Linked DNA regions of Rhinolophus ferrumequinum. The protein of the gene in region 2 interacts with the protein of the main gene of each other region in a biochemical or structural test. Links are inferred from orthologs where the notes say so. Each region holds a gene or a part of one and is shown on either strand. Other genes may lie near its edges.

What was found.
Region 1: of the proteins of UBA1 (region 2) and UBE2H, one has a biochemical effect on the other in vitro, tested with the Homo sapiens proteins (3 studies listed by BioGRID, with this or other methods). The link is inferred for Rhinolophus ferrumequinum from reciprocal best matches to the Homo sapiens genes UBA1 and UBE2H.
Region 3: of the proteins of UBA1 (region 2) and UBE2R2, one has a biochemical effect on the other in vitro, tested with the Homo sapiens proteins (5 studies listed by BioGRID, with this or other methods). The link is inferred for Rhinolophus ferrumequinum from reciprocal best matches to the Homo sapiens genes UBA1 and UBE2R2.
Region 4: the proteins of UBA1 (region 2) and UBE2J1 form a complex in vitro, tested with the Homo sapiens proteins (2 studies listed by BioGRID, with this or other methods). The link is inferred for Rhinolophus ferrumequinum from reciprocal best matches to the Homo sapiens genes UBA1 and UBE2J1.

The regions. Positions count from the first base shown.
Region 1 is NC_046309.1:16,520,301-16,527,787, reverse strand, and holds the start of UBE2H (ubiquitin-conjugating enzyme E2 H), read right to left. Parts: upstream 3,351-7,487; 5' UTR 2,903-3,350; coding exon 2,850-2,902; intron 1-2,849. UniProt on the Homo sapiens protein: Accepts ubiquitin from the E1 complex and catalyzes its covalent attachment to other proteins. E2 ubiquitin conjugating enzyme that transfers ubiquitin to MAEA, a core component of the CTLH E3 ubiquitin-protein ligase complex.
Region 2 is NC_046284.1:86,707,679-86,715,430, reverse strand, and holds the start of UBA1 (ubiquitin-like modifier-activating enzyme 1), read left to right. Parts: upstream 1-4,503; 5' UTR 4,504-4,643; intron 4,644-7,520; exon of another isoform or gene 7,521-7,727; intron 7,728-7,752. UniProt on the Homo sapiens protein: Catalyzes the first step in ubiquitin conjugation to mark cellular proteins for degradation through the ubiquitin-proteasome system.
Region 3 is NC_046295.1:50,521,497-50,529,274, reverse strand, and holds the start of UBE2R2 (ubiquitin-conjugating enzyme E2 R2), read right to left. Parts: upstream 3,510-7,778; 5' UTR 2,919-3,509; coding exon 2,742-2,918; intron 1-2,741. UniProt on the Homo sapiens protein: E2 ubiquitin-conjugating enzyme that accepts ubiquitin from an E1 ubiquitin-activating protein, and catalyzes its covalent attachment to other proteins by an E3 ubiquitin-protein ligase complex.
Region 4 is NC_046286.1:46,026,560-46,034,693, forward strand, and holds the start of UBE2J1 (ubiquitin-conjugating enzyme E2 J1), read right to left. Parts: upstream 3,225-8,134; 5' UTR 2,580-3,224; coding exon 2,549-2,579; intron 1-2,548. UniProt on the Homo sapiens protein: Catalyzes the covalent attachment of ubiquitin to other proteins. Functions in the selective degradation of misfolded membrane proteins from the endoplasmic reticulum (ERAD) and is essential for cells to recover from ER stress.

The DNA.
Region 1 (7,487 bases), on a different chromosome or scaffold from region 2:
ACCCATCAAGGTGGTAGAAGGCAGTGGCCCATTAGTTACTCATCCTCTTCTCTCCCTACCCCCACACCGCTACTTTCCTGCTGTATAGGTTCCCTACCAGGCTGTAAATCGTGGTGGCATAATTATGCTCAGGAGACATCCAAAAATGGGCTGAAACAGGAGATTGCAATGAAACTAGCTATCGGCCTCCACACCAAACAAATCATCAAGGGGCACTGAGGGGCAAAAAGCAAGTACATTCCTTCAGACCTTTTCTACTTCCTCTCCACCATCTTTCATTTTCAACCCCCAGCCCTCTCACACTATTGTACTCATTTTAGTAATGGGTTGGGAAATTTTTACTTAAATGTTTTGCTAAATATACCTTGCTTAAAAATTGTTGGCTCCATTTGGGCCTACCAGTGTGAATTCAACAGAGAAAGGAGGCCACAAAAATCTCACCCACACAACACACATGCACACACAAAAGAAAATACAAAAATGTTAACTTCCAAACTACGTTAGCCCAGAAAATAACAAATACGAAACAAAGATAACCTGTGCCTGTTAAATCGTGAGACTGGTGTCCTCCTATCTCATATCTCAGAGATCTATGATTTTTAAAGCGCCTCTGCTTTCTTTTGTCAGAAAGGAGGAAGGTGGGGAAAGAACAGAAGGCCAAAGCATCTTTGCCTTTCTTCATCTTCTACTAAAAATAAGCTATGAAATAAGCCACTTAGGGGAAGAAAAAAGAAAGACACCCTGCTGTTCTTTGTCTGTTTTCCTCTCCCTCTCCACCCCCCACACCCGACTCCTAAATGCGGTAATCATTCTAGATGCCACAACTACTAAATGAACAAAAGGCACTGTATGGAAAAGGCATCAGGTCAAGTTAGGCCTCACTATTTATCCTCAATCTTCTAAAAATATGTATGTATATAATTTGAGAATCTGACATTGATCAAAAACAGCTGGCATTCTCTTGCCCACCCCCATCCTAATTAAACATTAGGTAGAAATTTGCATTAGGTGTGACACTAACTCTCAATTCAAGATAAAAATAACTCAGATTCTGCCACCCTGTCATTTCCTAGTTTCTAAACAAAAATAAAACCCGAAACTGCTTTGTGTGAAATGTACACACAGCCATAGTTACAAGTTTTCCTGCAACCTTATGAAAAGCCAACATTACTGGTATCGTTCACACGTTTACAAAACTCAATCAGAGCCACAAACAGTTCATAAAAAGTCCATTTCACTTGTGCCTGGATATATGTTTGGTACGTAATATATACTTTATTACTTGCTCCTCACTTCTACCTCCCCCAAATTCTAAACTTCAAGCCCTAAACTTAGAAGTTTATCTACTGTTCCTAATTTCCAGCCAAGTTTCCTGAGTGAGGAGAAAAAACACCTTCTTATTCCTGAAAAGATTATAAAAAGAAAAAATCTCTTGCCCAGTCAACTTCCCTCCCATCCCCCACTTCCAAACCAAATGCAAAAACTACTTGTTTAAAAGTTTAGCAAATTCCATAACTGACTATTTAACAACAATCATCGATCTCTACAAAGAGGTAAAATGTCCAATCAAAACAGTAACAAAAGGAAGAAAGAAGGAATTCACCTGAAGAATCTAGCCAAACAACTTGAGTTATATAAACAAAACCCTGCAAAGGGGGAAATGGTGGGGGGATGGGGGTGAGGGAGAGAGAAGCAAGAGACAGGACTTTTTAACTGCATTTCACACACTACCACTCCCTACACGTTTCCCCCTCTCCCCAGTGATTAGTTGTCCAGAACACTGGGCTCATTTCCTCTCTCCCCCCCACCCTCTAAATTACTCCTTAAAAAATTTCTCGATTTGTCACAGGAACCTTCGCGAATTTCTCTAGCTGGTCATGAAATAATCAGTCTGGACTCCAACCAAAACCACTGCCTGACGGACTCTTATCAGTTACAGCTTTCCCACTGCTACCTCCAGAGTACATAAAGTTGGGGGAGGGGGGGTCGGAAAATAAAGGGTGTCATTTGGCAAGATCATGGCAATTATTCCCCAAGAACCTTATCCTCATAAAGGGTGTTTGCTCAAGTGCATAGTACAGGGGCTATTTTGTTAAGGAAATCCTTTCCCTCCCTCCCCCCGCTGTCATATGCATAATATGGAGGGTGGCTTGCTAGAGGGCCTGGGGGTCCTCGCCACATATAACTATGGGTGGGACAGGCTTTGTCAGTGGAAAGAAAAACAGTGAGGTTCTACTAGGCACCAGAAAGCTTAACAGGGGTCTCTGATTTAAAACATTCAGAGCTCTTTATCACTTACAAGAGGGGGCACTGAGCAAACTACTCTCTTCCTAATATAGAAAGGAATTAGGGATAAAGGAGGTCACTTGAGTTACCCCAGTTCAAGAAGCACTGTGAGTGGAGGGAAGGGAGGCATCTCAAGAAAAGGAGAAAAGGCTTCACTCTCCGGAATTTCTATCTCGAGTCCCTAAAGTCAAAAGAGCAAACAGGAAAGAGAGACCCTGAAGGTGGGCTCGTAGGTGAAGAGAGGTGGCTGGTACTGGAAAAAAGAAAAAAGGGGGGGCCGTTTAGGGAGTCCAAACGTCGTGGTGGAAAGTCATGAGCACTGGGGGTGCAGGAAGAGCGAGGAAAAACGCACGTTTCGGGGTGCTGCAGATAAAGGGGGAGCTGAAAAGGCTCTCGGTCATGGGAGGTGCCAAGGAGCCGCCGTAGGCGCTGGTAGGAGGGAGGGAGCCTCGGACAGTGCCCTGTAGTGCCCCAGGGCCCTCGCTTGGGTTTCAGGGGGGTGCCCTGGGCATCCCCACACCGCCCCCCACGTACAGCCTGAATCCCCCCTCCACGAAGGATACAGCTTGACCACGTCTGTGTCCATCCGCCTCTTGCCCGGACTGGGGGATGACATGGTGTCGCCGCTGCTTCCCCGTCGCCTGCGCCGCCGCCGCTGCCTTTCTCCCTTCCTCCGCTGGTCTGTCACGGGCCCCGGGCCCCGGCTCCTCGGAGCCCGCGGACGCGCCGGCTCCTCGTTAGAGGTGGCAACACCCTCTAGGTCCTGTCCGGTCCAGTCAGCCGCCGCCCCCCGCACGGGGAACACCCGGCACTGTCCGGCCGAGTGGGGGTGGGGACCCCGCGGCGCCCGGCTCGGGCTGCCCCTCTCCGACTGTGGGTTCCGCTGCGGCCCAGCCCCGGCGCTACTCTGCGCCGCGCGACGCTCCCTCCTGCCTGCTCTAGCTCTCTCGTCTGCTCGCCCGATCACCCTCTCTTGGCTCCCTAGCAGCCTCCACGACCAGCGGACGACTCCAGCTCAGTCGGCCTCTCTACCCTAGCCTCGCTCTGGGCGCCGTGACGTCACCTCTGTGACGTCATCGGCAGGGCGGGTCCAGTGGGCGAAAGGGGTGGGTCGCCGCGGCGTGGACTTTCGTCGGGGATTCTGGGAGATGTAGTTCCTTTTTCTCCTGCCTTCTCGGCCCTGGGCCCCCTCCCCCAACTCTCCCACACAATCGCTCAACTGCCAGTGTCGTTATCATCATCATAAACGATAATAGTAAATAATGGCAATATTATTACTTTCATGTGTTTTAGTGTAATGAACCTCCTTCTCACACACTGTTAAAAAGGCTGTTTATTTGATTTGAGGAGGCCAAGGTGGCTGTTACTCAGGCACCAAAATCTGGAAATTTCCGGCTCCAGCAGGTTCCCTACAATCTAACCTCCTTAGATGGAGAGAATTTGTTTACAGCGATTTTAGACTATAGCGAGGCTTCCTCAGAGCTTGCAAACCAGGATTCATTATTCTCCACGTATATAGATAGGGCCACTATTTCAAGGATTAGCGTTGAGGCAGCAAGGCGGCAAGGCCAAACATAATTTAGTACCCACATCCTTACTCTACAGAGTATGAGGTAATTTCACAAAATGAATGACTGACAGAAGCAGAAACACCTTACATATGCTGTAGTTGAGGACAAAGATTGCCCTCCAAATTCCTATACCAACCCTACATACTCATTCATTCAGTAAATATTTATTGAGCACCTACTATGTACTGATCACTCTGCTGGACATACAGATATCATGGTGAACTAAGAATGACTCTATAAATTTGCACAGCCCTCCCATGTGGTCTGTGGATTTAGAGTGTCAGCATCACCTGGGAACCTGTTAGAAATGCAGGCTTGAGCTTCACCTCAGACTTACCGAATTAGAATTTGCAGTTTAAGGAAGTCCCCAGGTGACTTCTATGAGCAGTGAAGTTTGAGAGACACTGCTCTGCAAGGCGCTCCAAAAAAAGGGATGTGGAACCCAGGAACCAGCCAGGCAAAAGGGGCAGGCAAGAGTGTTTTAGGCATCTCTATATTTATACCACATTTTCACTGCCATCCATTTTCAAAAATCTTATGTATGCATCCACTAGTACTTTGTCAGTCCCCTTATGTAACCACACACACACACACACACACACACACACACACGGCAATCAGCTAAAGTTGAACGGTGTTTGCTCCCATCATTCCATCCCTCAAAATGACCAGCTAGTTTGTGTGTGAGCTAAATGTACATAACATAAAATTTGCCATTTTAACCATTCTGAAGTGTACGGTTCACTGGTATTAAATACATTCACAATGTTGTGCAACCATCACTACTGTCCATTTCCAGAACTTTTTCATCATCCCCAAACAGAAACTCTGTACCGATTAAACAGTAACTCCTTGTTCCTTCCTCACTCACCCCAGCCCCCGGTAACCTTTATTCTACTTTCTGAAAAAGATAGACTATTTTAACTGCTTCTGAAGGTGGTGCATTGTTTTTTTCCTACTGCACATAGCAATTCTGTCAGAAGAGGACATACTTGAACGAAGGAATTTCTAACTCCCTTTATTTGACCACTTTGCTAAAGGAAGATAAGAATGGAGCAGAAAATCGTTCCTGACTGAGTCTCCTCTAGGCTCTTTGGGCTTCTGTTGCTGCTACCTTGTCACCCAGTATGGCCCTCCACTCTCCTTCATCTGAGTAACTCCCGCTTCCATGCTCAGACAGTGCTTCGCAAGCTTTGGTGTACTTCAGAATCACTGGGGGAGCTTGTTTAGTTCACAAGTTTCCAGGCCCCACCCGTGGGGATTCTGATTCAGAAGGTCTGGGTGGGACTTGGGCGTCCATGTCTTTAACAAGCTGCCCTGATGATTCTGATGCAGGCCAAAGTTTGACAACCACTGCTTGACGATTCCAGTAGGTATGGGCACTTTCAAAACACCACCCTGACCCCTCAAATTGGGTCCTGTGCTTCCATAGTGTCCTGTGCAAATAAGGATGTTTCCTCCCCACCTGAGAGCAAGGTGGCAAGCTTACAGCATCCAAAGGTGTTGCTTCCAGAACAGTTAGAAAGAGTCAAGGATGGGACACTAAAGAAAGAAGGGCATGAGGTGGATCTAGAAATTTTCCCTGATGCTTTAATCCTCACAGATGCTATGCTACTGTGATCTAAGTACTAAGCAAAACTAATTAGAGGCGTGTTTAATTGGAGAAACTTGTTCTGGACAACACTGGAGGAGGTAGGGCTGTTCTACCTAGAAATGCAAGGGAGATTTAGCCCTCCGAGGCAGTCATTGAAAAGGAGTTATTGGGGCTGACCCAGTGGCTCAGATGATTGGAGCGCCATGCTCCTAAGGCCGAGATCACTGGTTCGATTCCCACATGGGCCACTGAGTTGCGCCCTCTACAGCTAATACTGTGAACAACGGCTCTCCCTGGAGCTGGGCTGCCGTGTGCTGCCGTGTGCTGCCATGTGCTGCTGTCGGCTCCCCTGGGCTACCATGTGCTGCCATGAGCGGCTGGTGGCCACCGACTGATGACTGGCGACCAACTGCCTCAGCCTGAGGGAGCGCAAGGCTCCTAATACCAGCATGGGCCAGGGAGCTGTGTCCTACACAACTAGACTGAGAAACAATGGCTTGAACCCAGAGTGGGAGGGGAGGCGGAAGAAAGCGGGGGAAATAGAAAAGGAATTACCCTTCCTAGTGTGTCTAGTAAGTACCTTAGCTCTGGGTTACTTAGGACAAACCTGCCCCTCTCCAGCTCTTAATTATGCCTCAGTTAATTGCATATATCCTCCCGGAGCCTCAATTTTCTCATCTGTAAAATGTGGCTCATAACTTCAGTAGGCTGATGGAGTCAATGGAAAGATGAATGGGAAAACCCCTTGTAAACTATAAATTGCTTTTCATAAAGGTAACATGAAGTGTTCATTACAAGGTGTAATATGATATTGGTGGCAGTATTATTGTATTATTAATATCAACCCCCGCCCATTTGCCCCACTCCTTATACACTGTATGTCATTTAAGGAAAAGGGAATTCGCTCTTTTTGGTGTTTTTTAAAAGATGTCATAGCGTCAATTCCTTCTCTTTGTGGTGAAGGTATGTTCGCATTTCTACAATACGCCTTTTCTCTCTGGGCATTCTGCCATTTGCACCTTCATAAATCCATCTCCTCTCTCCTGGCTTCCTCCCCCGCCCTCCATTGCAACCTTCCCCCTCCTCTTCCCAAAGCTTCAGAGGACTCCTGAACCTGCCCTTGGCTAGGTAGGTTCAAAAGGTGGTTCCCAAGTGGTGTCAAATGACAGCCCTGGTTTTACTTATTTTTGGCTTGTGAAACCTAGAACTCCTCTGGCGCAGAGTAAGTTTGCGCTCACCTTTTTTCCCCAATGTTCAGCCATTCAGAAGGTCAATAATTACTCTAAGACAACACTGGGGCCTGGGAGTTTCTGTTTATATGTGCACACACACGGCAGCACGCTGGCATGAGCCATGTTCTTCCTTATCAGGAACGACCAGGGACGCGGTGAGGGAACAGCTGTCCGACCCTGCCTGACTCACCAGTGTTGCAATCTGGGAAATGTATTTGGGCCTGTTTATCTCACCCCAGGGCAGGGCCAAGCTTGACCAGGGGAGCCTCTGATCTCAGGAGCAGCTTCTCCAAGGCAAGAACGTAAGTTTGGAGAGAATGTAATGCTTTGAGCAAGGCACAAAGAGGGAGTAAGATGAAAACCTATCATTGGTGGAGGAGTGGAAGAGCCCAGAAGTTGCCTCTGTGTCTGAAGGTACCTGTTGACCCAATGGCATTAAAACCAAGCGCATTTATCACTGACCCCACCCAATGTGAAAGTCCTCCCAAAAAGGCCTTCTGATTCCATTTGACCATTTCTAGCAGGAAATAGGTTCATTTGAGCTGGTGTTCTTGGCATCTGAGATCTTGGGTCCAGGCCCCTCTAAGGGCAATAATATTAGCATTTTCCTGGCTGCTATAGACATAAAAGCTTAAAACTCATTTCAAGTCATTTCCACGTAACCCTGTTACAATTTGTCCCCACAGAAGCAGTCAGTGTGAGCGCAGGAAAATGCAGGCCACACAGTAGCAAGGACGGAAGATTTCACCTCCTACATTGTTGTCATTTCCACAGTACCTCTGTAACAGGCTCCTTGGGCAAACA
Region 2 (7,752 bases):
CTGAGGGAGACACGCCTTCTGAATGTTCAGGTGTCACCTCCCTCATGAGGCCTGCCCTGACTACCCCATTTCAAATTCCAAGGCCTCCCCTGCCACACTCCCTATGCCCCCTTCCTTGTCTTACTTTTCTCCATAACACTTCTCACCTTCTCAATTTCTAACATACTACTGTGTATTTCCTTACTTTTCTATATTGCTTGTCTCCTTCACTAAAATAAAAGCTCCACAAGGGAAGGTACTTTTGTCTATCACTTGTCTATCTTGTTCACTACTGTGTCCCTAATGCCTACAACAGGGTTTGGCACATAACAGACCTTGGCAGCATGAATAAGTCACACACCACAACTGTTTGAATCACTCTCATCCTCATCACTCTCGTCCCCAAGCCTCCATTTTTATTTTTATTTTTTTACTTATTTTATTTATTTATTTATTTATTTTTAAGTAATTGCGGTTTTTGCAATTATTTTTAACCTTTTAAACTGCAATTACTTTTCTTTTTTTTTAAGGAGGGCCCAACTCACAGTGGCTCATACAGGGATCGAACCGACAACCCTGGTGTTACTAGCACCACGTTCCAACCGAGCTAACCAGCCACCCTAAGCCTCCATTTTTTTAAAACAAGGCTAATAAACAGTTCCTTAAAAATCTATTAAGTACAACCATCCAATAGAAAATGCATAAAGGACATGAATTCCCAGAAAAGAACTGCAAATACCTTTAAATTTATGAAGGGATGTTTAAGTTCACTCCCAGGAAGAAAATGCAAATTATAATTACACAGGATTGGCAAACATCCAAAGGCACTTTCCTGCTGGAGGCAATGTGAAATGGTACAACTATTGCGGCCCCCACTGTCCCCCCCTACTTTCTCCACATGCTTTTGCTCAAGCTATTCCCTCCCACTGGAATGCCTTTCCCTCTCACTTGGGAAAGTCCAAATCCTGCCTCAATTACTCCCACTGATCCATTTGAAGCCAATCAATTCTTCAAAGAAGGACTTGGCCACACACATGGCTTCAGTTGTCACCCCTAATGGTCTTCATATCTCCAGCCCAGATTTCCCTCCAGCCCCTGAATTTCAGACCTGGTCCCCAACTGTTCACCCAACGGACACATACCAGACCTTGGATGTCTAACAGACATCTCAAATGTAACATCTAAAAACAAACTCCTGATCTTGCTCCACACCTGCTCCTAATGGAGTAGTTCCCTTGTCAGCTGATGACAACTCCATCCTTCCAGCTGCTCAGACTAAAAACCCGGGGGTCAGCCAAGACTCTCTGTATCTCCCTGTATCTGACCCCTTCGCAAATCCTGGCATCTTTACCTTCAAAATCAATCCAAGATCTAATCCTTCCTCACCACTTCACCACTTCCACTTTTACCACCTTGGTCTGATCCTCTCTCATCACTTCCTTGACTCTTGCAGTAGCCTTTACACTGAGTTTTCTGCTTCTCCCTTTCCCCTTACAGTTTGTTCTCTCACCACACAGAGCAGCCAGATTGTTTATTCTAAAATATAATTTATAGGGGGCCGGCCCCGGTGGCTCGGGCAGTTGGAGCTCCGTGCTCCTAACTCTGAAGGCTGCTGGTTCGATTCCCATATAGGCCAGGGTGCCCTCAACCACAAGGTTGCCAGTTCGACTCCTCGACTCCTGCAAGGATGGTGGGCTGCACCCCCTGCAACTAACAACAGCAACTGGACCTGGAACTGAGCTGTACCCTCCACAACGAAGACTGAAGGGATGGCAACTTGACTTGGAAAAAGTCCTGGAAGTACACACTGTTCACCAATAAAATCCTGTTAAAAAAATAAATAAAATATAATCTAATTTATATAATGTGACTCTCCTGCTTAAAATCTTTTTATGGCTCCTATGGATCTTAGAATAAAAAACATTTCAGCCTGGCTTGCAATGCCCTATTTGACATGGCCTAGGATCTCATCTCACAGCACTCTCCCTCCCTCACTGCTTTCCAGCTACAAAGACTTCCACGCACTTCCTCAAACATGCTAAGAACTTCCAAGCTCAAGGCTTTGCACTGGATGTCTCCTCTATCCGGAATGCTTTTCCCCATGTTCCTTGTGGTTCACTTCCTCACTTTTCACATGCCACCTCTGAGAGGCATTCCCTGACTACTTTACATGGGGTATGTCGTGCGGGAGACCCTGCTCGCTGCACCATTTGTCGTGTGAGGTGGCCTGCGGGGTCTCTAGACCCGCTCCCCACATAAGAACGCAGGACATGGTGAGGCCAAAAAGGAACACCCATGGAGCCATAGATAGGGGAGTCATACCGCTATAGTCTCACTGGAGGCTGGATCCACACGACCTGCAACCTGCTGTCCGCTTTTCTGCCTGCCAACCGACTGACTCAACTCACCAATGCAGCCGTGGCAGTTATATCAGTGGCTAATTGGCTAACTGGTTACAGCTGACGGCCAATTAGCCACAGCTGACGGCCATCTACTACCCAAGCCAGCACCTTTCTACGTGACACCGAGAGCCTGGAAACTGCTCTCTGGGACTCTGTCCCCACAGGTATTAGGGCAGGTCTCTCTGAGATGAGGCAAACGATAAATAAGGAAAAGATCTGATGGAAGAGAGGTCTTGACTATTGCAAGGGCAGTCTCCTTGTTATGTTCTCTGCAGTGTCCCCAGTGCTCTGCACTTAGTAAGTGTCATGGAGGGTCTCAGCTCCCACTCCCCACACAAGAATGCAGGATACGGTGAGGCCAAAAAGGAACAACAGAGCCACAGATAAGGGAGTCACATCACTATATTCTCGATGGCAGCTGGTCGAGACACAAAAGCAAACATCTGCCAGTACCCCAAGGGGGTCTTCCTGCACCCCAGTCTCAATGGCAGCCAAGTGAGATGCAGGAAGTAGGACCCACACGATCTGCAATCCTCTTATCCACCACGCTTGCTAACCCCACTTGCCAGCCTCAATCCGCCGTCCGCTTCTCTGCCAACCAACCAACCCCTCTTGCTAGCGTAGCCAAGGCAGTTATATTAGTAGCTAATGGCTAACTGGTTACAGCTGATGACCAACTAGTCACAGCTGATGGCCATCTATTACCTGAGCCAGCATCTTTCCATATGAGGTCGAGAGCCTTCTGCTCTCTGGGACTCTGTCCCCACAGTAGGCATTCAATAAATCTTTTTCAAATGAACAAATTTGGAGGTTGTTGACAAGATATGAGGTACAGAATTTGGGATAAGATGTTAAAGGCATTTTGTGTTAAACACCTTCGCTCAAACATCTTCTCAGCGAGGCCTTCTGTGGGGACAGAGCCAGGAGTGCAGTTTCCAGGCTCTCGGCCTCACGTGGAAAGGTGCTGGCTCAGGTAGTAAATGGCCATCAACTGTGATTGGATGGCCATCAGCTGTGGCTAGTTGGCCGTCAGCTGTAACCAGTGAGCCATTGGCCACTAATATAACTGCCGTGGCTACGCTAGCAGAAAAATAGGGCCTAGCAAGAAGATGGTGGCTGAGCTACCAAGCGGCGGAGTGTGGATTGCGGATTGCAGAGGCGGATTGCAGCTAGCAAATGGGGAGTCGGTCGGTTGGCAGAAAAGCGCACGTCGTGTGAATCCAGCCTCCAGTGAGACTATAGTGGTATGACTCCCCTATCTATGGCTCCGTGGGTTTTCCTTTCTGGCCTCACCGGGTCCTGTGTTCATATGTGGGGAGCGGGACCAGAGACTCCGCATGACACCCCGCGTGACATCTTCCTTGACCCCACTGTCCCCCAAATTTCTGCTTACCTTGTTCTATTTTTCTCCATAGCATTTAGGAATTATATATACAACACACATTTGCATATATATTTAGTTATATATTCACATGCAAATATAGAATATACACGATGTATTAAATGTAAGACATTTATTATATACAGATGTAAATTATTTACATATTGACACTAGCTATCATGTTATGTAAACTATGTAGTATTTATATGTACATTGTATTACATAATATATATTATATAGTCACATGTATCTATTTTAATACATATTTATATGCGAAGCTATAATTTTTACTTATGTGTTATGTTTATGGTCTGTCTCTCTTGCTAGAATGTCAGCTCCGTGAAGGCAAGAAAGCATCCCCAGCGCCTGACCTACCGCTTGAGCTCCATAAATGTCAAATGAATGAACTCCTTTGGCCATCTGAGCCTCAGCCTTCCCATCTGGAGGATGGGTGTGTCTTTCCATTTGGAGGTACCCCAGTGTTCCGCTCCCTTTTCTCACTCCCAGAGCACCGCTCCCGGAATTCCACAGCCCAGGTTTACATTTTCCCATACCCTGGCCGCTGATGCCCACCACGTGCACCAGCCGGGGGCCAGATCGGACTACCACCCCCAGCATGCCTCGCGCTTTCAGGAAGGACCACAACCCGTAGGGGTGTCTGGGTCTGACACGTTCTGCCGAAGGCGCGGGAGCAGGGGCGGGCGCCCCTCTAGCTAAGCGTTTGTGGTACGTCCCAAACCGGGGCCCTCCAAGTCCCCGCGCTTCCGAGCTCCGCGCAAACTCTGGCTCTTCTTGTGCGACGGAGGTGGTTTGCTCTTCCGTTGCCCCGTGGCTTCGGCTCATCTCCAGCAGGAAGGCGAGGCTTCCGCCCGGCGCAGGGGGTGAGCTGGAGCACGGTGCCCCCCAAGCCCCTGGACAGAATTTGAGGGAGGGGGCTCAGTTTCGGGGATCCCCCAATGGGCATATTTGGAGGCTCTGGGCCCGGGATGGCTTTTAGGGGTGGCTGTTTTTGAGGGACCCTTAGGAAGTGGCTTTTGGGGACTCCGGGGAGGGATGTGGGAATCTGTTGTAGGAAATATCCCTTGGAGACAAGGTTTATATACCCCTCGGAGACAGGGTTTAGGGGGATGTTTGGGGAGACCCTTATGGTCCATGAATGAGTACTCTGTCCATGAGGCAGGATTTGGGGTGCTTCCCAAGGGGAGAGGCGAAGTTTGAGGTCCCTGAAGTCAAGGCGGAATTTTGAGAGGGCTTGTTTTCAGGAGAGGTCCTGACCACGGTAGGAACGTTCAGGACCGACGTGGCATTGTGAAGGTATCTGTGGCCTTTGTGACCTCTGCTTATATGATGCGGTTCCCCCCCCCCCCGTGCTTGATTACTCGGGGCGGGGAGACTGGACCGGTCAGAGCCCACAAGTTGTTAGGAGAGGAGCCCCCAGCCCAGGCTGTGGAAGGGACGCCGGAGCACAGCTTGCTACGCGCTTCCCGAGGGTACTGGGTGCCACCCGGCCTTCGTTGGCCGCGGCTTTCTTCATTATTCATGAGGAGGTGGGGCTATGAGGAAGCCCATTTTTTTGCCTCTTTCGCACCTGGTCCGCTGGAAGTATCGGCTTGTGAATTATTCACGATGGGGCGGATCAGCGTGCTGAAGGGGCGTTCTACAGTTTGCCGGGCAAACTAGACCTCATTGATTAATCGTAAAGGTGAGTAGCACCCAAGTTGTCAGTGGCTTCTCTAGGGGCGTTGTGCATAATTCATGAGGGGCGTAGCTTTTATGGATTCATCTGCATGATACACTGTTAGCTTTGCCTTGTAGGCTCCAGGGTTTAAACCTCGTGCATGGTTCATTTCTTAAAGCTCAGTAATCTCAGATTATCAACAAAGGATCTAGATTCAAATCGTCTTCTTTCCAAGCCGTGTGATCTTTGTCAAATCTTTCCGTGAGCCTGAAAAGTGGGCATGGGCATGATGACGATCAGATTAATTTACACTAATTTAGCACTTTATTAGCACATTTAATCCCCACAACAATCCTAGGAGGTAAGTTGTTATTATCCTATTTTATAGATGAGGAAACTGGGACACCGGGAGGGTAAGTAATTTGCCTACTCCCAGTCAGTGAGTGGCCGAGCCTGCATTCAAACCTAGCCAGTCTAGTTCCAGAGTCTGTACCCCCTAATTTAATGGTACTACCACTGTTAGTTAAATAGAACTATGTGCCAGGCACGGTTCTAAGCCCTTTCTACATATTTATTCATTTAAAATCCATCATCAGGTAGGTTACTATTCTCATTTTATGGGTGGGGAAGCAGTGGCCCAGAGAAGTGAAATGTCTGGCCCCAGGTCACAGCGCTAGTCATCGGTAGGTGGAAGTGATTTTTGTGAGGGTTTAAGAACTCTCTAAGGAGGTCACCTTTGAGCTGAGACCCGAAGGACAAGAAGAAGGACAAGAAGAAATCGATTTCCTGCTCTGCATTCCTGAGATCAGTGGCACAATGCCGGGAAAGGAGACACCACATCTGTTAATGGGATCTATTATTATTCGACAGAAATGTATTCGGTGCTTGGGGTTCATCTGGCAGTCAGTCCTACCTATTTAATGGATATTGGTGGCCTGAGCTTTCTGTTTTCCAGTGTCCTTCTGGGAGGGTGTTTGAAGGCATTATTTTTTAAATAATGCCCCAAGTTGGGGGGCTTCTCTAGTGGTTGCGAATACGCTCACACACAACTAATTTTATATTAATATATTTACATATTACCTTTATAGTAATATACACATATATATATTTTAAAATTTAACAGTGCCCTGTGCCAGCACTACACTGAGCTCATCCATAATTCATATTCTCTGATTTTGATAATATATTGCCTTATGAGGTAGATGGGTTCTCTTGCTATCCCCATTTTACAGTCATGGAAATTGAGGCACTTGCCAGAGGCATGTAGTGCGTCTGGATTTGGTTGGAACAAGGCAGCCCTATTTCACGTGCAGTTAGTCAGGGGTGGGGAGGCGGCTGCTACACTTCCCCTGGGTTTCCGCCATGGCTCTGCAGCATCGGCTTTTATTATTCATGTACAGGAAGGCTTGCCCATGTTGCCAGGGCTGGATTACCCTAATCCCTACTTGCTGGGAGGGCTGTCCATCCAGTCTCATGCATAATTCATAATGAGTGGGTGGGACCTTTCTTGACCTCTCTGAGTTTCCAGGTTGAGCTGCTGCAACATTGTTACTCATTATTCATGAACCGGGTAGGGTATTTTTTCTGTAGTAGCCCTATTTCCCAGGTTACAGAGTATTAGATGCTGTAATAGGTGGGCCTGCCCCTTTTGTTCCAGCCCACGGGGCCTCATGCATTATTCATAAGAGATGTAGCCTTGGTCTCCTTGGCTTCCGGGCTGCTGCAAGATCATTCATTATTCATGACAGTGGGGCGTGGCTTCCATGTTGGCTTTCTGGTCGCAGAGTGTTGGTCAACCAACCACCTGGGCATATACATAATTCATGATCAGGAAGTGTGGGCTTGAGGTCCCTTCTTGGTTTCCATGGCAGCCTGGCTGCAGCAATATATTCATTATTCACGTTCCTCTGCTTTCCTGGTTTTCCTAGTTAGTGCCATAGTAGCCACCAGGTGGAGCTATTCCTCTTCAAATGAGTCCCTGACATGCGGGGATCAACATTCATGATTCATGAATGGGCGCGGTCTGCCTGCATCCGGGTTCCTGGGGGTAGGGCCCAAGGTTTTGTTCCGGCCTTGGGCTCAGCAGCCGCCATCTTGTGTCGGCGGCGGAGGTGAAGGAGGCTACGGGGACGAGCGCAACCACTACGGCCGGGGGAGGAGAAGGCGGCGGAGGCGGCGGCGACGACTCTAGGCGGCCCAGGCGGCGGGGAGGAGGAGAAGGAGGAGGGTGGCTTGGCTTCGTCTCCTACAGGAGTTGGCGGCGGCGCGACCCGGGGAACCGGCATTGGTAACAAACGGCCTCTCTCAGCGCC
Region 3 (7,778 bases), on a different chromosome or scaffold from region 2:
AAAAAATTCACTTGGTAAGTCAATGAGATCAAGAAACTGGACAAAAAGATAGGAAGGCCACAAAAGATTGTATAATAAGCAGAAAAACACATACAAGAAACTATCTTTACCCATCACACATCCATACCCTCCAAAGCTAAGACTCACATGGATTTGAGATTAAAAAAAAAAAAAAAAAAGGCAGGATGAATCAAAAAATATGTGAAATACAGGTCTCCCAAGTCTCTACCACAACAGATGTACTTAAAACACACTAGAGCCAACTACTTCATGGTGAAAAAGATCAGTTAGAAGCCTATTATATTAATATGTAAAAGTTAAAGGAGTTTCATTATGAAAAATTTTTTAAATGGCAGTCTAATTGCCTTCAAGAACTATCATTCAAAATAGACAAAAAAGTTTAACTTAAAATAGTTTATACTAAATGTTGAAGGACTATGATTTGATAAAGGAGAACAGTAGAGAAAGTTCTGTGCCAACTTTTAACTGCAGCTGTAGTGGAACACACTAAAAGCCTTGTTTTAAGACAAAAGCAGTGAAATAAAAAACAATGGTTTTAAACCTATCACCAGTGTTAACTGCTCATGACCATAAGTTTGCGTTTCCAATGAAGGATTTTGAGATAAAAGGCCATATAATAAGGAAACAAGTGGAAGAAAATGAAATTGAACGAAATTCTCACACAAGACTAAAACATAAAACTGTAATTTTCATACATTTTTACATATCACAAAGGTAAAAAACTCAAAGATAAAGAAATCTAACACAACAAAATTGGAAATTAAACCATTCTATTTAAATAGGGCTGAAATTAATAAGCTTTTAATTTAAATCAGTGTAGGCTACAGGGAATCCTCTTTATATACTATCTACTCCAAACTGAGAGGATTCTCCACACTCCTTTCACATTTAAGCTAAAATATTACAATTTGAAAAGTTGTTTTTTTTCAAACTCCATTGGAATGAGATTATTCTAACTAGACTGTCAATTGCCCCAAACAATGATACTTTTTGGAAACTAAACTTCATTCCACTAGATTTAGCCAGTAAATTTTGCTAAATAATCCTTTGCTAGAAGTTATATAAATTCCATGTTGTGAAACTAATTTTTTCAGTATCTATAAATAAAAATTTATACTTGACAAAAGACATTCCTCAACTAATAACTTGTATATTTAGTGATTTTAAATATCTGCATCTGAAAGCATAGTGTATCGTGACCACAAAAGATGAGACATACAACTGGTAAGGGTACTGCTATTACACAATATTCTAAATAGTGCTTTTAGTAGGTATTCAGTGCCTATCACAGGCATAAATATTTAACATTCCCCTATCAATTCTTCACATTTTCTACTAAGTTGACCCAACTTCAAGCCTGAAACTGAGGCTTCTACCTTTAGAAGAGAAAAAAACAAAAGTAATTGGGTAGTCCTAAATATACACACCATAACTACATGACTTAAGATCCTCATTTAAAACTTTTGCCAAGATAGCCCCTCCCTTCAAAACAAACTACGATTGACTCACACTGCTCTATTTGACTTAACTTTGGAAATACAAAAATTAAATGCTTTCCTAAGAACTCATTTCCCTCGGTCTCTGCATACACCATTTAAAACATTCAACCTTCAATCTGATCCATCCCTTCCAAAATGGTAAAAAACAAAAACAACAACAACAAAAAAAACACAACACCTCAGTATCTCTAAATTATCTACCATGGAATAAAAAAAAAAATACACCATATTCAAGAATAATAACCACCGTTCTAAAGTCTTGGAAAACAATGGAAGCAATGTCTGTGGTCGCTGTCTGCGGAGCCGTCCTACTCGGTGAAACCATTTCACCTCAGATGATACTTTTAATCTGTGAGACCACCCCATTTTCTAGAGTTAACCACCTGAGCAAAGGGTTTCAATTTCGTCTCACTAAAGTGGAAAACTATCAATCACCCTACATAATAAGTTCCACCCTCTAGATATTTCTACATGTAGGAACAAAACAACAACAACAAAGCCAGTAAAGTTGGTGGCAGGGTGAGGACAAAGAGCATTTTGAAACACTACAGAAGTAAATAGAGAATGAGGACAGAAAGGGGGCTAAATTAAAGTTCCCTCAAATGAATAAAGGAAAGAAAACGCAGGTACCCTTGTTTACCACCCCTAAGCCCCCATTCTTCACTACCGCCCACTGGAATGCAAAGTTGGAACTACCACTCCGTCAGAAGCCCATCAAATCCTCAAGATGTCAGGTCACCAGGCAGCCTCTGGAATGACAGGCTAATACCCCTCCCCCCACACCCCCCAAAAAAGAAAGGTTCAATCCAATAAGTGCAGGTCACTCTGCCCTCTGGGGCAGTTCCAGCCGGCGCAGGGATGGTTCAGATGGGAGGACGAGAGGGGAAAGACAGACCACCTTTCTTCCCTTACACCTTCCGCTGAGGAAACAAAACAAAGACAGCCGCCCTCCTCCCCAGGTCGCCTCTACACTAGCCAGAGAGGCTTTCCTATTTCCCGGTGCAGTCTAGCCTCCCGCCCCCGCCCCCATGACAAAGAAAAGGCACTTGGTGAGCAAGGCCTTCCTGCCTCCACGAGTGGGGGAAGGGGCTGCCGAGGTGAGGAGCCCCCTCCGCTAACCCGCGCTCACACTCGCTCACCCTTGGCCCCGAAAAGAGCCAAAAGCGGCTGGGAACAGAGGCCTCCGCCGGGGAATCCTGGTCTAGGAGGGGATGGGGGTACCTTGAAGTAGCCGCCTTCATAGAGGGTGTTGGGGGGTCCGAAGATGGCAACCTCCCAGTTGTAGAGGTCGGACTCATCCACCAGGGTGATCCGGAAGCCCTCCACCGGTTCCTCCTGCAGGGATTTCAGCTCTAGCATCAGGGCCTTCTGTGAGCTGGTCATCTGCTGCTGGGCCATCGCGGCTGCGGCGGCGGCAGCGCCGGGCCGGGGCCCCAGTCCTCACGCACCGGCCGAGCCGGACCAAGCCCCTCCCCTCCGCTCGCGCTCGGGCCGGGCCGCACCGGGCCCTTGTCTTCACACACCCGGCGGGCCGGACCAGGCCCCAGACGGCCCGTGGGCCGACCCGGGTCCTCCTCACACACGACGCGGGCCGGGCCCTCCTCCTCACACTCCGGCCAGGTGGGGGGAGGGGTTCAGGGAGTTAAGAAAATTCGCTCCCGGTCCCGGGCCTCCCCCCCCCGGAGGGGGCCTCAACTTAGGGGGGGGGGAGAAGAGGTGGAAGCCCAGGAAGGCGGCGAAGGGCAGGCGACGGTGAGGGGAGGGGGGCAGGCCGGCCCGGGAGCGCCGCGCTCGCTCGCCCTCTCGTTCTCCTCAGGGGCCGCCGGAGCCGGAGGGTGCGCGGGGCCGAAGGGCGGGGGGAGCGCAGTGATCGGGGGTCTCGCGGCGGCAGCGGCGGCGGCGGCTGCGCGTGGGGAGGGGCGACAGCGGAGGAGGAGGAGAAGAGAGAGAGCGCCTCGCGCCGCGGGAGCGACGGAGCGGAGAAGAACGAGGGAGGGAGAGAAGGAGGAGGGGCGCACGCCGGGAGGGGGGAGGCTCTCGGCGGCTGGCGGCCCGACGCGCTTGCGCGCGCCCCTCCCTCCCCCGCCCTCCTCGCCCTCCTCCTCCTCCTCCTCCCACTTCCCCGCCTCCTCTCAGTGGCCCAGCGCGGTGGCGGCGCTTTGTGACGCCAGAGCTTGTACCCCGCCCTTAAAGGGCCGAGCAGCTGTAAGGGCGGAGGGTAGCCTCAAGGGATGCCCTTGGCCCCAAAGTGACGGTTGGATGCCCTGGTTCCTTAGGCGCGCCCGGGAAGGGACCTCTGGTCTTAGAGCCATCAGCGCCCTCCTACCGCATCCACAGGCCTCCTCAGCCATCCTCCCAGGAGCCCTGGTCCCCTGCAGGCCCCTCCCCGTGACACACAGTCCGCTGTCCCTACACTCTGCAGATGCTTGACAAGGATGTGCTGAGAATGTGGGCCTTATCGGTGGGAACAAGCGTCCTGACATCTCTTCTGCAGGTCCAGCCCTCACGCCAGTGTGTCTTTGGAGGGCAGTGTGTGGCACCCATTTGGGGGAGTGGGTGAGGCCAGTTTCCATTGAGAAATGCGGAAGGCAGATAGGCCAGCTTTCTACTTCCCTTCTTAACTACAAAGAGGAAGCTTGTGGGAAATAGAAAATAATAATACTGATTGAACCAAGGTTCCTGGCCCTTCTCTCTGTGATTTGAGGCAAGTGCTCTGGCTATCCCTCAGTTTACCCATTTGTAAAATGAAGTACTGTGGGTGAACTTTGACCCCCTACAGAGCCTTACAGCTTGAAGGTCCAACCTGGGATTGAGGGACTTTTAAGATAATCATGGCTGAAGTGAGATGTGGAGTCTTCAATCCCCGTGATTTAGATAGACTGCCCCTTTCTCTTAGGAAAGCATGTCCTGTGATAACTGTCTAAATGTTTTCTATTATAGAAAAGCCAACATACTGTGAAAGTTCCAGAATTGGGGGATCAGAAAGATCCTTTGTTCCAACCCTGGCTCCACCATTTACATTACCTCTTCCTTTTCCATCAGCTTCTGTAAAAGAGGGTTAATTATATGTAATATAAGCAATTGTAAAGATTAATTGAGATTATCTGTACACAAGGTTTAGCACAATGACTGGAACATGGTAAATGATCCATAAGTAGGAACTTTAAAGGAAGAAAAATAATTTAAAGGCATAGCTGTATTCTGGATGTGATCCCTCCCACTGTTTAATAGACTTTTTCACAACAGGTTTAGATTTCTAGAAAAATTGAGAAGATAGTACAGAGAGTTCCCATATTTTCCCATAGGCACCCAATTTCCCCTATTATTAACATCGTACAGTAATATAGTACATGTATTACAATTATGAATCAAAATTGTTATTAACTAAAGTCTTTACTCACATTTCCTTAGTTTTTACCTAATGTCCTTTTTCTGTTCCAGGATCTCATCCTGAACACCACATTATATTTAGTTTTCATGTTTTTCACTTTGACATTTTCTCAGACTTTCCTTGTTTTTGATTACCTTGACAGTTTTGAAGAGCACTAGTCAAGTATGCTGTAGAATGTCCCTCAATTAGGATATGTGTTGTTTTTCTCATAATTAAACCAGGATTATAGGGTTTTGGGGAGAAGATCACAGAGGTAAAAAAAAACAAAAAACATTTTCATCACATCATATCAAGGGCACATAATGCCAACATGCCATCAGTGTTGATATTGACCTCACTCACCTGACTGAGGTAGTGTATCAGGTTTCTCCATTGTAAAGTTACTCTTTTTACCTTCTTTCGATACTGTACACTTTAGAAGGAAATCTCTATGCACAAACCACACTGAAGGAGCCCTTTCATTTTTTTGTTCTTTTTTTCTCAGAAGTGAGGTTTCAGTATTTTAATGAATCATTCCCTAGCGCCCAACTCTATTCAGTAGGCCTTGAGGCCAAACTCCACTGGAATTAGAGCTCACTTCAGAGAAGGGGGACTGTTTTAGTAGTGCAGCCTCACCTCCCAAAATGATGGTATGTGACTGATTCTGACTTCCTCTCCACCAGTCAATTTAGGGACAAGAAGATTGCTGACCTGGAAACGTGGGAGATGATGTTGACACCTTTAATAACAAGACTGTAAATAGACAAATAGGCAGAAAGTTCATCTTCAAAGCATTTCACCCACATAAACTCATCACAGCCCCACCCTGACCCAGAAGTTGGTAGATCCTTAGCCTAACCCACTGGAACATAGACCTGGCACCCAGATCAGAAGCTGTGCCCTGGGCTCAAATCAACTCACAAACTCATACTAAATATCCACAGTGGGCATGGCCCTGAGCTGGGTGACTAATAAACATACACCTGTCTAGGAGGCTCACAGCCTAGTGTGTTACTAATGCATTGTGTACTTAAGGTCCTACATTCTTAGGTCAGAGGAACTAGAATTCCACAGAACTTGTCTCATGCCTTTTTATCCTAGCAGGTAAGACAGTGTTTATTAGTAGGTTGCGACTGTGTCTTATTCATCCCTGGATCCTGAGCAAACAGCACACGTCTGACATAAAGTAGACACTAAGTCATTGTTCTCATGGGCTTGCAACTAAGGACAGGAAGACAATCATTAACAAAACAAAACAAAACAAAAATCCCAAATTGGGCAGCCGGTTGGCTCAGGTGGTTAGAGCACAGTGCTCATAACACCCAGGTCGCCGATTCGATTCCCAGATGGGCCAGTGAGCTGCGAACTCCACAAATAGATTGAAAACAACGACTTGACTTGGAGCTGATGGGTCCTGGAAAAATACACTCTTCTCCAATATTCCCCAAGAAAAATTTTTTTAAAAACCCCAAACTGAACCCCACCTTCCACCTCCATGTTTTATAGGATCTCTCAGACACATAGTAGGTGCTCAAGATTATAAATTCCACAAGGATGACACGTTTTATTCATAACCATATACAAGCTACTACAATGTTTGGCAAACAGTGGGTACTCAAAACATGTTTGTTAGAAGAATGAATGGCAGAAACAGCTTCCTAGACCTTTCTCACATTGTTTCATAATGACAAGTAGAGATTGACTTTGCTGATTGGTGCCCTCTGGTGGTAAAGAAAACAGGATATTTACTCTAAGCACAGCATCACCTGATACTCTACAACCAGGGCTCTTTTGAAGAATCTATTACCTTTCTCGCAAAGAGAAAAAATAAAGGAAATCTTAGTAAGATAAATGAGAAGGACTGGTATTTGCTTTAGAAAGATTCTGACCTTATAGAATGACTCTGTTTAGGGGGCCAACATTTTTTTCATTCTGCATATGTTAACTAACACATGTAAATCTTGAATAGTGCACTTAAGGAGCACTAATCTTCCTTTAATAGCAACAGCTAACATTTGCTGTGTATCAATATGTGACAGGCTCTTTATATGCAGTATCCCACTTAATTCTCACAAAAATCTATAACATGGCTATTTACTGAGTATAATAAAGCTTAGAAAGGTTAAGAAAGTCACCCAATGTCACTCAGTGAGTAAATGGCAGAAACTCAGGTTGAACCTTGGTCATCCCACTTTAGTGTGACTGCTCTTAACCGCCAAGCTGTAATGTTCCTCATCTAACGTGCCCACAGCAATGTGTGCATATCATAACACCCCAGTGCTATACTACAATTATTTGTTTACATCTTTCTCCGAGCATCCAAGGTGCTCTTAAGAAAGAGACATTCATTCACTCAACAAATATTTATCGAGTGCCTGCTATATGACAGACCCTGTGCCAAATGCCAAGAATACAATAGTGAATGAAACAGAAATGACTGGGCCTTACCTCATAGAGCGTACATTCTAGTGGCTGAGACAAAAATAGACAAAAGCAAGTAATCAATAGACAAATAATATTGACAGTTTCACTGAATACTATTGAAGGTGATTAATGGAGGGCCTAAGACTGAAAATGTTGGGGTGGATGCAATTTTAGATGGAAGCAGGGCAGGGGCAGAATAAATCTCTATGAGGTTACATTTAAATTAGTAGAGGGACCAGCTTGTGAAATGTGAGGGCAAGAGTATTATTCTAGGTCTCTGGCTTGTGATCATGTCTTATTTATCTCTTTATCCTTGACACTGAACACAGGGCTTGACATTAAGTGTCATCCAATGTGGAATGAATGGTTGACTAATCTCTCAGCTCTTTGTTCTTCCTCTGGCTTCAATGGTGCTGTTTCCTCCTCTCAGTCAATTCAAACTCAAATCATGTTTCAAGATTTAG
Region 4 (8,134 bases), on a different chromosome or scaffold from region 2:
CTGGGGGGTCACTCAGGCTCCCCAGTGGATGAAGAATGGACAGTTGGTGAAAATGCAAAGGAGCATAGGAGTGGTAGAAGGTGAGGCTGACGGGGAAGGCAAGGATCAAATCAAGAGCAGCCCAGTAGGCCAAGCTGAACGGTTTATTTACTTTGAACTTTATCCACAGCCATGAGGAAGCTACTGAAGACATCTCAATTTAAGGAGTGATTTAATCATGCTTTGTTTTGTTTTAATTGACCTGGTGACAATAGTGACTGATTATATCGGCGGTGCCAAAAAAATGTATACAAGTGGACACTTTGGTCAACGTTGCTCAAGCAGTAGTTCGCCATAATCAGAAGTGTCTGGAAGCAGATGGTAACCACTTTGAGCACCTCTTGTAATTGCAAAAGTCAAATGTGATTTGTATTCGTCTTTTGTTATCCGTATATATTATCCACATGTTAGCACAATGACCCTTAACCAGTTACCTGTATTGTCTTAATTGTCCCATCCATACTTCTAAGGCAACTCCACATGAGACAGAGAGAAAAAGGATTGTATCTCTTATCTTACAGTGTGCAGTGTTTTTAACTACTTCCTTTTACATATACATTACTCCCAAAATATCACAGGACTGAACAACAAAACAAAGTAAGGAAGCATTTTCACTATGCCTCCTAGCTTTTCAATAAGTCCCAAATCACATTTAATTCACCTTCTCCATGAACTCAAAATGATCCACACAAAAACAAAAAAAGATTTTTTAAAAATTCTGTTTTAGAACAGTAACACCACCTTTGAGGAACTGAAACCAAAAAGAGGAAGCAATTTATTACAGCTAGAAGCATGTTGACCAAAACTCAGCCTGCCTGCAGGTCATATACTTCAGAAACGTACAAAATTCTGGAGAATATTAAACGTTTATCACAATCTCAGGTATTATAACCTGTAAAATTCAGGAATGTCCTGACAATCTCCACTCTAAATTGTACTATTACATTTGCATTATCTCTGGATAGTGCATTTACATTTGCATTATCTCAGGTATCCTAAGGAACTTGGTACCAAGTGACCAAGAAGTCACCATACATTTTTACCCTCCTCCCCGTTTTATTTAAATCTACCACAATCTAAATAATTTAACCATTCTACCATCTAACCTTAAAGTTAAGTTTTTCCTTCTCTCTTTCGCTTTAATTTTTCCCCCTGGCATTCTTAAGAGATCGGCTAGAGGGGGAAAGTTGTGAACCCACTGAAATTGAATTGTATAAATGTTTTTTTAAATAGATCATAGCCTTTAGCAGATTCTTACAGGAATTTATGGCCCCCTCAAATTTTATGACCAATTCTACATACTTGTTCACTTAACATTTCTTAGCCTGACAGCACTCAAGTTAACAAACTCTGTTCAATCAATATCCTCAGGCTCTTCTGGAGTCTTTGCATATTCTTAAGTATTTAAAAAAATCAAAGATTCACAATGTGAACTCTTTCCATAAGGAAAGATTCCTACTGAGAAGCTGCTTTTTTGGAAGAAAAAAATAATAAGCAGCAAGAGTTGGTCAAACCATCTCTAATATTTTAGGATTATCATTTAGAACGAAACTGTGGAGTTTCTCCCTCCTGACAAATTTATCAAGGTACAGATAGAATAAATACCATTTATAGAACACAATGATTCATTTCAAGCCTGCCTTAATCTGAGAGCTGATTACTTTTCCTGCATCTTTATAATGCACTAGAAAAGAATTTGAGGCTAGGATTGTTTGGGCTGCTTCTGTGAATGAAACAGGGACATTAAATACAGGAAAAGAAGTTTCAATGACTAAATATATATATATATGTATATATATGTGTATATATATATACACATATATATACACACCCACACACACATACATACAAACACACACATATATATATATATTATGTATATAATATACAATATATACATAATATATATAATATATATATAATCAGATTAGTCAGTATGACAAAAAATCAGGTTAGCTCTAAAGTACACGACTCAACTAGTTTCCTTAGCTCTCTGGCTAACCGGTTTAGTACAGAACATTTCATTTATGTCTGTAATTCTATTAGCTCCAAATGCTGCAAATGGGATATTTAAGCAACTAAATCCTCAAATGCGGGTGAGTCAAGCAGCTAAGGAGTCCAGTGGCAGCTTCGGAGAAGGGATAACGACGGTGTTCAGGATGCAGTCCGGCCAGGGGCTGTTAACTATTACTCACGGACATCATCACCTTTGCACCTGTTCTTAGGGATGCGTTTATAACCCAGCTTACGCGACGCAGATGAGGGAAAGGAGAGTCCGGGTGCTGCGGAGCGCTGGCCAGTCCCCAGACTCAGCCGACTGTGCCCGCCCGGCCGCCGTGCCCTGCGGCCTGCACCAGCCCTGCAGGCGGCGGTCTCGCGTAGAGCGCGACACCGGGAATGGAGCCGCGAGTCGCGGCGGACGCGAGGGGACCGCAGCGCCGGGCCCCGGAGTCCAGGGTCACTCCAGTCCACTCCGACAGTGCTGCCCACCGCCTCCAGCCCTGCTCACCCGGACTCTTCAGGTTGTAGCGCGTCTCCATGGCTGGTCGCTGTCCCGGCTCCGGCCGCCCTACCCGCCGCCGTCTCCTCTCCACGCCGCTGGTGCCCCGGTCTCAGAGCGGTTCGGGGCGATTGCGCCAGGCAGAGGGAGCTTCCGCAGACGCCGCCCAGCCCTGGGCCGGACTGTGGACCAGGTGGTGAGGGTGCGGGCGAGGCGCGGGCTTCGCGATGGCGCCGCCTTTTCCGCTGTTCCCCCGCCTCCCTGAGGGCCTGGCAGGCGCCGGCGCCGGCCGGGGCGTCGCTGAAGGGGGCGGCGGGGCTCGAGGTCAGCCTTCTCTATTGGCCCCCGGCCCAACCCCGCCAGGCCGCCGGGCCTGCGTCACCGCCCTCGCCCAGGTTTTGTGAAGTTGGTCTGACGTGGCAGTCGCTTCGTGGCGGTGGGTCAGCGCAGCCTGCGGTCACTCTGCTGCCGCCGTGGCCCCACGAAGCCCGCTCGCCGATCTTCCGCCGGGCCCATCCGGGGTCCCCAGGCGCTCGCGGCTGTTACTGAGGAACGGCGTGGCTGGAAGCGGACCTGACCCTACCTGCTGCGGGTGTGGTCCCAGACCCCAGCCCTCGAGAGGTCAGGCGGTAGCCCGGGGCTCCCGCTGCAAAACTGTCCTGTAGCCCGGCTACCTGCGAGCTGCCCCTAGGTGTCTGCGAAATGCTTTTTTTAGATTCAGTAGTTTGGGGTGGAAACAGTTAAGTAGTGAAAGGAAATTCCGGTGATAAGGGAAATTGAGTCGGATTTTAATAACATTTTTTTTTTCAGATAATGTATTTAGGTGCCAGACACGTTTAAGTATTGTAAGGAATTTAAAAAATTTTGAAACTTGTCAAAAAATGAAACTAAGAAATTACATTGAATTGGGGGAAAAGCATACAAATATGAAAGGTTGAATCTCAAAGGACACACTTCATGGTTCATTGTGGAAAGAGTGGGATCGTGGAAAAGGGGTCTATGGGTTCTGAAGTTTTAAAAGAGGAACAAGGATTTAGGAAAAGGAGAGAGGAATTGGAATGGTGGGGAGATTGAAGAAGGAAGGAAAACTAGGCGGGATGAAGACAGTTAATCAGGTTGGTTGGGCACGTTTTATTTTGTTATATAAAGATAGACAACTTTGGTTTTGAAGGGTAGCAGAACATGCCACCCCCAAAATATGCCTCTTTGGCACAAGGATTATTTTGAGAAACAAGGCACAGGAGAGGAGAATCTTTGAAAACAGAAGTTACCCTTTTGTAAGGGAAATTTACATTTGTAAAGGAAGTATTTTTATATCTCCTTCTGTGTACTTGGAAGAGAAAGTTGACTCTATGAGGTGGGACAATTAAATTTAGCAACTCATCTTAGAAAAAGTGCCACATATGTCATTGCTGAATATCACTACGGTCAACTTTGAAGTACTCCCCTTGGGAAGCTATGCACTGATGCCAGTGCCTAGTCCACCCTTCAAAGCAATTTTGGAACTCTTTTCCTGGAATGGCCATCAGAGCTGTCGTCACATTACCCTTGATGTCCTGAATGTCATCAAAATGTCTTCCTTTCAGTATTTCCTTTATCTTCAGGTAAAGAAAGAAGTCATTGGGGGCCAGATCAGGTGAGCAGGGAGGGTGTTCCAATAGTGATTTGTTTACTAGCTAAAAACTCCCTCACAGATAGTGCTGTGTGAGCTGGTGCATTGTCGCGATGCCAGAGCCAAGAACTGTTGGCGAAAAGTTCAGATCGTTTTTCGTCTTAACTTTTTCACGTAGCCTTTTCAGCACTTCCAAATAGTAAACTTGGTTAACTATTTGTCCAGTTGATACAAATTCATAATGAATAATACTTCTGATATCAAAAAAGGTTAGCAACATGGTTTTGACTCTTGGTTTGGACTGACAGAACTATTTTGGTCATCTATCATTGGCTGACTTCCATTGGCTGACTTTGATGCTTTGTTTCAGGGTCGTATTGGCAGTACACCCATTTTTCATCACCAGTGATAACACAGCCCAAAACATTGTCCTGCCTCTCCAAAAGGTCTTGGCAAACTTCGACTCTCCTTTGCTTTTTGTTCATCATTTGGAACCATTTTTACACACACATTTCTCATGCCAACATTTTCAGTTAAGATTTTTCTGTTTATCGATTCTTACTTGGTCTGCTAAGCTTCTCTCAGTCAGCCGAGGATTTTGACGCACAATTTGACAACTGTTTTTGTCAATTCTGCTCATTACTGGCCGCCCTGACCTCTCTTCATCAGTGACACATTCTCTTCCCTCAGAATAACATTTAATCCATTTGTAATCCATTTGTGCACTGCCGTTTTCTTCATGGCGTTATTCCATTAACTTGGACTAACACCCCTGATTTCACTTCCACTCTTGCCAAATTTAACAAGAAATTTAATGTTTGTTCATTGCTCTATTTCCAACTCAGACATTCTTGTGACAGCACACAAAAACACGCAACAATAGTAACGAACACCACTCAGCAAGACACCACCACACGTCGATATGAACACAGCTGTGAGACACTGATATACCAAGGTTATGAAATCTTACCAGGCTGTTTGTACAGTGCTGCCAATGTAAGTGCACAGTGGCAAGTTCGTATGGGGTCTCTCAGGTATGTGGGGTTCCCCTACCATGTATGTATTAAATTTAGTTATTTTCTCTTGCTAATCGATTTGATTATTAGACCAGCCAAAAGAACCTTGAAAGTAGAGGAAAATTTCTTTCTCCTCCACACATACATCAACTCACTTATTCTTCACAACAGCCTTGTCAGCAGCACAGATTATTGTTAACGAAAGTTCCCAAAGAAATTAAAAGAGAGTTTTACTCATATATGAATTGTATATCAGAGAACATGTGAACCAAAGACACATTGGGGCAGAGGAAAACAGGGTTTTGAAAAAAAGGGTTGCTAGGGAAACAAGGTTATAAACTTAAACATCATTCATTTTCTGATTGGTGGGGGCAACTGAACTTTTAATGATAAGAACAATGGGTAACGTGATTAAGCATTTATCAAAGTCCTAGTTCAGGCTTACAGGACAAAGACTTTGGGTCAATAGGTCCAGGACAGGGGGTGTTGCTTAGGAACCGCACAGGGGGTACCATTTTTCAAACAACACAATCACTACATGGGAGCTTCTTGCTCTACAGGTGGTTTCGGAGCCCCAAAAGGGCAAAGTTATGCTGAAGCAGGGCCCTGTTGGGACCCCAGTAGTAGAGGCCTGTCCACGTCCCTGGCCTCACCTTCCTTCACCTACCTATAGCTTAACAATAAATCATCTCTTTGCGGCTTGAGCTCAGAATGTCCCGTCCCACCCAGTTCCCCGTTTTAGAAAATTACCCTGAAACTTATGATTAATATCCTTAGGCTTATTGCTCACAGTCTCAATGGTCTAGCATCATTCTTTCCAGACATCATCCTTTCTGGGTTGCTGACACCACTGCAGAATCGAGCATCACGTTGCCAGAGGGAAGGCTCCATGCAGACCCCATCCCAACCCTCACATAGCCTTTAGACGAACGCCCCGATTTTCCCTTAAATACCCAAGTCAGTCTGAGAATGTTAAGGCAATTTTTGAAGGTGTTAACCTGCTGCCTTCCCAGACCACCGGTGCTCTGAAAATAAACGCTTATTCTATGGCCCAACTCCTGTGTCGGTCTATTGCCTGAGCAGCGAAGGCAGCATAAAACCCCGGACTCGGTTGCCCTCCGGTTTCAATGCCTTCTAAGCAACTTCAGAATTCAAGCTGCAAATCTCCAAATTTGGGGCCATAAGTTATGATATTAAAGGTCTTATAAGTCCTCATTATTTATATCCTCTTTACAGATGAAGACAATTGAGGTCTCAGAAAAAACAATTTACTTAAATACTCAGTTTACAATTACATTAAAAGTTCTTATCTTTTTTGGTATATCATTTTTATCATACTGATAAAAGGAAATTTTTCTAGGTCCTCATTTATGTCTTGATTTGAATACTTTGAAATTCATTTTACAGAGGTTCTGAAGAATATCATTGACATATTCAAGGCTACTCATCTAAAAGTAGAAAAACACTGATTCAGATCTGGATCTTCCAACTCTGAAACCTAGATTGTTTTCACCGTGCTAACGCAGAATCAGGCTGTGTCATACAAGGCCTTTCCCCCCACCATTTGAAAGCAGGGATATGCTTCTTAGAATCAGAGCTATTCTTGGACCACACACTTTAAGATATTTATTCTTTAGCATTTAAAAAAATGGCCATGATGAACATTGTAGTGTATTTACCTTGCTTGAGCCTTTATTTATAAAGTACAGGTATATGAATAGAGTTGAAATTCCATTGTATGTACTTTTTTATACTAAAAATATCTGCCATCAGCTAACTAGTGTAAAACAATAAAGAGGTCTAAGCTAAAGGAAAAACAAAGAAATGCAGTTTTAATAAAGGCTCAGGTTACATGTACTGTTCTCAATCTGGCCCTCTTTATGTAAATAAAGGATTCTGGGTAGGTTAACTGGGATTGGTTGAGTTTAACATGCAAACAAAGAATGCTGGTTGGCAAAGCGGTTAGCTTCTTTCAAAGTAAAGAATGTAAATGATCAGTTTGTCATGGTGAGAAAGAAGTCCATGGCTGAGAAGCTCAAAAGGTTATGGAGAACCGTGTAAGGCAAACTTCTTCATGGTCTCCCAGCTCCATGCTAATTCCCCTAACATAAATGAGTCCACTTTGGCAATCTCTGTACACCTTGGATTGCTTGTTTTGCAAGTAGCAGTGCTATTACCAGATAGATAGCATAAACTGACTAATTTTACATCAATGTCTTCCTAAAGTATGATTTAAAATGAAAAAGAGCTTGAAAAGACATAGGTGGTCTCTAGTGTAAACATTTTATTAATTCCTTTGAATATTTTATAATAGTTTATTATTATTATTATCATTATTTAAAAAAAGAACATCTGCCATAGTTTTTCCTATTGTTTTCCCCCAGAATTTCCCCCTTTGGAGTAGTTAAGAAAAATGGGACTAATTTTCCCGTAGGAATGTAGCTGATATTAATGTTAGATGTTGTTCATTATCAGCAACACAAGTTCCAACTCTGGTTATTTTAACAAAAAAGTCAGAAAGGAGTTGTTTTGTGCCCCACCTCACTGCACTGCAGCTCTAATGCTATGCTTGTGCCTACCACCTGGTGGCTGGCTGAGGGATCCAGTAGAGAAACTGATTTCATTTTTTCCTTCTCAGTTTCTATTTTCAAGATATGTCTTCCTGCTCATTCTATTTTAACACTTTTCTAATACTGTATTCCAGAAGAAAATATTATGGAGAGATATCAAATGAGTATATTTGAAACCCAGTGGAGTGCTTACAATCCTAGTTTTAGTAGTAGGTAGGTGTCTTTTACCAGATGACTTGTACATCATTTTAAAAGCTTTTTCCCATTAATAAGCAAAGAAGCATTTTATAAATGCAGTTGTAAATAGCTGTTTGCAATATTATTAAAATCATTTTTACTGTGGCTTTCTTAAAAATTACACCTTTTCTTGGAGATCCAAGCTGCTACCATAGCTTTG